Linked DNA regions of Sus scrofa. The protein of the gene in region 1 binds, or shares a complex with, the protein of each later gene. Links are inferred from orthologs where the notes say so. Each region holds a gene or a part of one and is shown on either strand. Other genes may lie near its edges.

Evidence for each region.
Region 2: the proteins of RBSN (region 1) and RAB4A are in contact, whole or in part, in a crystal structure (PDB 1Z0K), measured with the Homo sapiens proteins. The link is inferred for Sus scrofa from reciprocal best matches to the Homo sapiens genes RBSN and RAB4A. Residues at the interface, in NP_001289307.1 of Homo sapiens: Glu441, Gly442, Trp443, Leu444, Pro445, Ser447, Glu454, Pro458, Leu459, Gln461, Gln462, Asn465, Ile466, Phe469, Asp480, Glu481, Thr484, Leu485, Asn488, Leu492, Glu495, Gln499; in NP_004569.2 of Homo sapiens: Tyr10, Leu30, His31, Ile34, Glu35, Ile46, Gly47, Val48, Glu49, Phe50, Gly51, Ser52, Lys53, Lys63, Gln65, Trp67, Arg74, Phe75, Ser77, Val78, Ser81, Tyr82.

Annotation. Positions count from the first base shown.
Region 1 is NC_010455.5:69,420,943-69,424,757, forward strand, and holds part of RBSN (rabenosyn-5), read left to right. Parts: intron 1-850; coding exon 851-921; intron 922-3,447; coding exon 3,448-3,534; intron 3,535-3,815. UniProt on the Homo sapiens protein: Rab4/Rab5 effector protein acting in early endocytic membrane fusion and membrane trafficking of recycling endosomes. Required for endosome fusion either homotypically or with clathrin coated vesicles.
Region 2 is NC_010456.5:60,500,831-60,504,645, reverse strand, and holds part of RAB4A (ras-related protein Rab-4A), read left to right. Parts: intron 1-262; coding exon 263-343; intron 344-3,241; coding exon 3,242-3,356; intron 3,357-3,815. UniProt on the Homo sapiens protein: The small GTPases Rab are key regulators of intracellular membrane trafficking, from the formation of transport vesicles to their fusion with membranes.

The DNA.
Region 1 (3,815 bases):
TTAAGTCCATTCAAATACCTCACCTCTCGTTAACTGCCAGCGACCTTGGGACGCCTTCAGTAGATGCCACTTTAAGGAACATAGCCTGATGCATGAACATGGGATTTAAGAGTCAGGCTGGGAGTGAGCCTGACTTGACCTGGTGAGGCCTGCAAGCTGCGAAGGATGACCCAGGTGGGGGCTGGGCAGGGAGGAGGCAGGAAATGGGGAGGAGAAAAACAGCCTGGACAGTGAAAGCAGCTTGTGCAGAACTGAGCAAAGGAGAGGTGTTTTTGTCTGATGATCACTAATGGTCACTCTTAGCAGTTCTGCAGATCAGAGTAGCTGTGTTTCTGGCATCACATGAAGATACTAAGGCTTCTAGAAATAGTGTTAATTAAACCCTTGCTGAGCTGCAGGTGTAGTTACCCATTCTTTGTGGAGCTCATGATCTGATAGCTCATGTGGGTAAAGAGCCACTGCTTTTGGCTTCCTTCTTTGAAGTGAGCCCTGGCAGTGCTTTGTGCTGGTATCTGATGTCACCCGGAGGAGAAGGAATGTAGCAGCTAATTTCTTTTCTCTGCCTTGGTAAACTCAAGTGACTTGTGTCCTGGGAAGCCTTGCTCTTCTCAAAAACATCCGGTCAAAGGTTCACCCTCACTTTTTTTCCTTCCTGCAAGATTTTCTGCTTGTAGAATAGGTGTGTAAATCAGGAAATTGATAACAATGATCAGAACAAAACAAAAAACCACTCTTGGTATTTTTTTCATTTTAGAAAACTTCATGTTTTAAATGTATCTCTGTTGATTCAACTTCTGGGTAGGCTTTTCTGTACTCTAACCACAGCTCACCTCTTCTTTTTTCTTCTTAGAAATTACGAACTTGCATGGAGAAAGTTGACCAAAAAGCTCCTGAATACATCAGGATGGCAGCATCATTAAAGTAAGTAGTTCTTCTCTGTCATTCTAATTCAATGGTGACTGTTTTCTCGCACTTTAGGTCAGTTTTTAGTAGTGAAAATAAAATTCCTAACTCTGGGCCCAACCAGAGAGTCTTCGTTGAGTTTGTATTGCTATGGCCCACATCACAGTCCTGTGTAGTCATGTTCAGATGACCCCACCTATCCTGACTGAGCATGTTTGTGAAAGGCCTCTGGTGAAGGCACCACTGTGAATGAAGTACAGTATCCAAGGGTGAACAAGACCAGTCTGCCTCATGCTCAAGCCTGGGTAGATGCCACTCCAGGTAACATTGAGGTGTCAGGCATTTCCTTTAGGGCAAGATTTGGCAAACTTTGGCCCATGGGCCATATTTAGCCTGCCATTTCTCTCTCTCTTTCTCTCTCTCTCTTTTTTTTTTTTTTTTTTTTTTTTTGACTACACCCCTGGCATATGAAAATTCCTAGGGCCTGGGATTGAATCTGAGTCACAGGTACAATTACATCACAGCTGTGGCAGTGCCAGGTCCTTAACCCACTGCACCACAGCGGGAACTCTGCCATCTCTTTCTTTTAAAATTAAGATTTAACTCATAAATTTCATTCCTTTAAAGTGTACAGTTCAGGAGTTCCTGCAGTGGTGCAGTGGGTTAAGGATCTGGTGTTGTCTCTCAGGTGGTATGGGTTGATCCCGGGCCTGGCACAATGGATTAAGGATCTGGCATTGCTGCAGCTGTGACATAGGCTGCAGCTATGGCTGGGATTCAGTCGCTGGCCCAGGAACTTCCATATACCACAGATGCAGCAAAAAAAATATAAAGCATACAGGTCAGTGGTTTTAGTACAACCATCACGTCACATTTAGTACATACAACATTCACAGAGTTTTCCAACCACCAATGCTATCTTAATTCTCCCCGGCCCGGTGCAGTGCATTAAGGTTGATGTGATTGAGACCAGGGTGATGATTGCAGATTTGTGCCAACCTTGTTATTTTCCACATGACTTGGTGATGTCAGGAAAAGTGCAGGCCTTCTCAGTTCTCGTCTGATGTTCTTTTTGTAAACTGTGCAGTTGAAATGATGGGAGTTCCTATCTTGGCACAGTGGAAACGAATCCAACTAGGAACCATGAGGCTGCGAGTTTGATCCCTGGCCTTGCTTAGTGGGTTAAGGATCCAGGGTTGAGGCTCGGATCTAGTGTTGCTGTGGCTCTGGTGTAGACCAGTAGCCTGGGAACCTCCATATGCCATGGGTACGGCCCTAAAAAGACAAAAAAAAAAAAAGAAAGAAATGATGAAACAACTTTACTGAATCCTTAGATTGCAATGCATATCTAGATTTTTCCAGCTACCACTGCCTTATAGATGGGAAAACAGGTAAACAGGGCAGTTTTTTTCTGCTTATTGAACTTAAATTGCTGTTGCCTCAGGGAGTTAAGGGGCCATTGCTGAGGCTGGGTTAATAGCTGAGAGATGGTCTGAAATGTTTCTCTCTCAGTAGATACTGATTAAACTTGTCCCTTGTGCTAATTACTAGGGATAAAAAAATGAAAAATCGGGAGTTCCCGTCATGGCGCAGTGGTTAACGAATCCAACTAGGAACCATGAGGTTGTGGGTTCGATCCCTGCCCTTGCTCAATGGGTTAACGATCTGGTGTTGTCGTGAGCTGTGGTGTAGGTCGCAGATGTGGCTCGGATCCTGCATTGCTGTGGCTGTGGCATAGGCTGGCAGCTACAGCTCCGATTGGACCCCTAGCCTAGGAACCTCCATATGCCAAGGGAGCGGCCCAAGAAATGGCAAAAAGACAAAAAAAAAAAAAGAAAGAAAAGAAAAATCATTGTCCCTGCACTTGAAATTCAACAGCCTAGTGGCAGTGGCAGACTTGTAAATGACTCCTTCTCTGTGGTAACTGCCCTACTCCTCTGGCCTTCCGGGTGTCCCCTCCTCCACCCTGGGCAGAACTGTACCCTGTCACCTCCTTTTTTGAGTTGGAGTCCAGGTGCTTTTCTCACACAGGGAGCAGTTGTCCATAAGACCCGGAGCAGGGGCTACTGACACAGTGCCATGTGGGCTGTGGCCTGGAGTCCTTGGTCAGCTTTCCTGTTGTTCCTCTGCTCCCTGAGTAGTCTTTGAGTGAGAAAATCAGCGTGCCTTCTCCTCTGATGTAGTGTAACCAGCTCATTCAGTAAACTGCTTCATTCATCTTATTAGATGCGCTGAAATTATTCAGAGGAAGTAGGCTGAAGTAGATTCTGTCACATTTATTTTGGCGACCAGCTTAGGAGCTGGTCCTCATAGGCCTTGGCACTAGTGTGTCCCTGCAATATCTGCAAATTAAAAGCAGCTTCCTGTTGATTGCCAGTTATAATATTCTGAGAAGGAATGAGCACACATTCCACACAGGTTCTTTTGGAGAGAATTAACCATCTCCCCCTTTGTGAGGTCTTAAACCTGTAGAGTTCTTTTACACCGCACTCTCCATTCAGTGCCATGAAACTTAGAGCAAACATCTCTGTGATTTCTCCCTAGTGCTGGAGAGACAACCTACAGCCTGGAACATGCCAATGACCTTCGAGTGGAAGTGCAGAAAGTCTATGAGCTAATAGATGCTCTGAGGTAAGGTCTGTTGTCAGGTGTTGTTTTACCTGCTGCTTTGAATGGAAGAGGTGCTGTTTTCCTGAGGTGGCGGGTGACCAGCAGACCTGAGCTTCCCCAGTCCTGGTGACAGCAGGTCTGTGTGAGAAGGAGGCTAAGGAGCTGCCAGCTTTGGCCCTCAGTGCGTCTCAGTAACTTGGTTAAGGATTTCTAATGTTCGTTATTATTAAAGGAATGGGAGCTGGTTGACACCAGATGTATATCAGTCACTGCAGTCACTGGCTATTTGCAAACAGAGTAGC
Region 2 (3,815 bases), on another chromosome or scaffold:
TCACCAGAGTAGTTTTCAAACTTTTAGTATCAAAAGAAATTGTCCCCTTAGCAGTTTGAAAAGGCACTGGCTCAGCATGGAAACCAAATGCTGAAAAGGTAAAAAGGTAAGTCCGTGTGTTTATTGCCTTTTTCACAAAATCTTGTTACCTCTTTTTTTCTGTTATATTAACAACCAAGATTTCATTAAATGTTACAGTTGTAGACTACGTTCACAGCACCTGTTTTAAAGTTCTTTTTCATGGTCTCTTTTTGTTTTTCAGATTTTTTGTTTAAATTCTTGGTTATTGGAAATGCAGGAACTGGCAAGTCTTGCTTGCTTCATCAGTTTATTGAGAAAAAATGTAAGTGATGTCACATGGTGTTCTCAATTTCTTCTGAGAGTGCTTCTGCTCAAATTTGTTGACAGCAAAACTTCCAAATAAGTTTTCAGGAAAAAAAGTTTGTGGCTTAAAAATATTTTTAAATGACGTTAAAAGTTCATGCTATTAAACTTCTAGTAATGTGGTTTTTATTTAGCATTTTAGTTTTATAGTAGTTCATTGTTCATTATGTAGTGAATTGTCCTGTACATTTTCTAGATACTAAGATACAATATGATGATGTGGAAAACAGCAGAGGAATTCCATTTCCTGACAGGAGGTGGCCCAAGAACCCTAGTTGCACATTTTGGATAAATAACATTTGGTCCTCAGTGGCCTTGTACTGTCATTAAGGCAGTATTGTCATCAGTTCAGTTTTACAGGTAAAGAAACAGAGGTTTAGAGGAGTTAGTGTGCATGCTCTAGAGTGGTCACCTAGTAATTGCTTAGAAATAAACCTGGGCCTTTGAGCACAGAAAATATCTCTTGTCCTTGACCTACATGTTTTGGTAAGGGAGGTTGAATTCTGTATTCCAGGCTACTGTAAAAGATGGTATGATTGTAAGGCCCTCAAAATAATGCTTTATACTGATGGAAAGAATTGTGGAGAATGGCCTGTTTGGTAGCGGTAGGGGTAGGCAGGTGAGAGCCTGAAAACAGAATTAATTTAATTTAATGAAGTGCATAAGATACAGTAAGTAGTGGGTAAAATGGGGAAAGAGGCAGCACAGAGTGTCTTGGGAAAGAGCTTTGAAGAACCGTAGTCTAGAAATGTATCCTTCTGCCTCCACATTCATCAACCCAGAGCTCAAACCCCTGTGTGGGACAGGAACCCAGTGTGGCTTGTCAGGGAGCCAGGCCTTATGAATTTAACCAGCATCCATTTACTGGGCGGTCAAGCTTCTTTACAAGTTACCAGGCTTTGCACTGTTCTGTCTCAGAAAAGACTGCTCAGGAACATCAGGTCAGGGGCCCAGCCTCTGTGGAGAAGGCTCCCCCCCGCCGCCCCCCCCAGATCCTCCCTAACTCCACAGGACCACAGTCAGGAGGAAATAGGTTTCACTTTATTTCTGTTGTAGCCATGTCTTAATCAGGATGTCCTTGGCCTTTAGGGTCACCCTCTGAAGGCTTGCCCAGGAGCTGAATCCTAGCCAGGTATCCACACTCAGTCTGCACTGTCTGGGCTGAGACAGCTGCCAGTGCCAGTACTAATAACCTTTCACCCTCTCATCCCCAGGAAGCAGTAAACACTGCTGTTAAGAAGCATCTCTGATTTCTGGTACAATTAAATTTTATCCTATGGTTATAAAATATAAACCAGTCAATGAACTGTAGAGCCATGAAATGTATTTTTAACTTATCCTTCCAACATCTCAGAAATTTTCTTTTATAGCTAGCTTATTCCAGTTGGGTGGAGCAGACTACTTATTTTGCCTGCCTCCCTGCCCATTCACAAAGTATTGATTTCTCCAACAAATTTCATTCCAAATTATCACCCTACAATACTAAAATTCATGACAACTCAACAGCTATAATATGATAGAGTTTTTGGTTTGGAGTTTGTTTTGGATTTTTTTTTTTTCTTTTCCTTTTTAGGACCGCACCCGAGGCATAGGGAAGTTCCAGGTCACAGGTCTCATCAGAGCTGTAGCTTCTGGCCTACACCACAGCCACAGCATTGCCAGATCCGAGCCACATCTGCAACCTACACCACAGCTCACGGCAACGCGAGATCCTTAACCCACTGAACAAGGCCAGGGATTGAACCTGCAACCTCATGGTTCCTAGGCGGATTCATTTCTGCTGCGCCACAACGGGAACTCCAGATTTTTTTTTAACTCTATTTTTTCCCCGATTTTCCTTCACCTTTTGTGTCCATCAAGCTTCTTTCTTGGGCTACAGTGCTTTTCCCTCCCTTTGCTTTTATTTGTTTAGAATATTTATCCAGGAGTTCCCGTCGTGGCGCAGTGGTTGGCGAATTCGACTAGGAACCATGAGGTTGTGGGTTCGGTCCCTGCCCTTGCTCAGTGGGTTAACGATCTGGCGTTGCCGTGAGCTGTGGTGTGGGTTGCAGACGCGGCTCGGATCCCGCGTTGCTGTGGCTCTGGCGTGGCCGGTGGCTGCAGCTCCGGTTCGACCCCTGGCCTGGGGGCCTCCATGTGCCGTGGAGCGGCCCAAGAAATAGCAACAACCAAAAGACAAAAGAAAAAAAAAAATAGAATATTTATCCAAATAGTTGAAACTATCATTGGCAAAGTTGTAGAACTGTCACCAGGTGGTAAGCCCTTCAAGATGGCACCCTGTATTTTATTCATTTACCACTTATGAGAACCTTAGCAGTGTCCGGTAGGTACCATCTCATGGTGTGGTTCCCCTTCAAGCCTCAGTTTTAAAACATAATGGTCGTGGAGTTCTCATCGTGGCTCAGTAGAAACCAATCTGACTAGTATCTATGAGGACGCGGTTTGATTCCTGGCCTCATTCAGTGGGTTGAGGATCCAGCATCGCCATGAGCTGTGGTGTAGGTCTCAGACTCCGCTGGGATCTGGCATTGCTGTGACTGGCGTAGGCCAGCAGCTGCGGCTCTGTTTCAACCCCTAGCCTGGGAACCTCCATATGCTGCAGGTGTGGCCCTAAAAAGACCAAAAAAAATGGATTGTTTAGAGGTTTTGAGAAAAAGTTGTATTGTGTCTTTGAGAATAGGAACTGTGTGTGTTCGTTTAAAACAATGAGTGCTTATTATCATCTGACTGTTGGAAAATGAATGATAAAGAAAATTGCATTTTCCATTGACTTAATTATTGATTTTAATGTTACTTCTCTAAATCTATAAACCTGTTTCCTTAACATTCTAAACTTAAATTTCTTTTTCTTTTTCAGTCAAAGATGACTCAAATCATACAATAGGAGTGGAATTTGGTTCAAAGATAATAAATGTTGGTGGTAAATATGTAAAGTTACAGATATGGGACACAGCAGGCCAAGAACGATTCAGGTAGCTTTTTCTCTAACATAATAAAAATATTTGAAAATTGGATTTGAAATAACTATATTCTTAATACATAATTGTTCCCTCCTCCCCCACACAGATTTCAGAAACCTCACCTCTGGAAGCTTTAAGACAAGCTAAAAGTCAGGTTTTTCTCCATGCAGCAGTAATTTACAAAAGAATTAGAAACTCTTCTGAGTAAATGCATCCTAATTTAGAAGCTGACTTACTCTCTGGGACCAGTGAGTTCCTTAGGAGAGTGTGGCATTGTGTATTCCACAATCAAGACAAAGTAGGAGCACAAATAATTTTTCTCTTAAATCACTTTAGAAGGAGAATGTGTTTTTTTGTTTGCTTTGTTTTGTTTTGTTTTTGTCTTTTGCCTTTTCTAGGGCCGTTTCCCATGGCATATGGAGGTTCCCAGGCTAGGGGTTGAATCGGAGCTGTAGCCACTGGCCTACATCA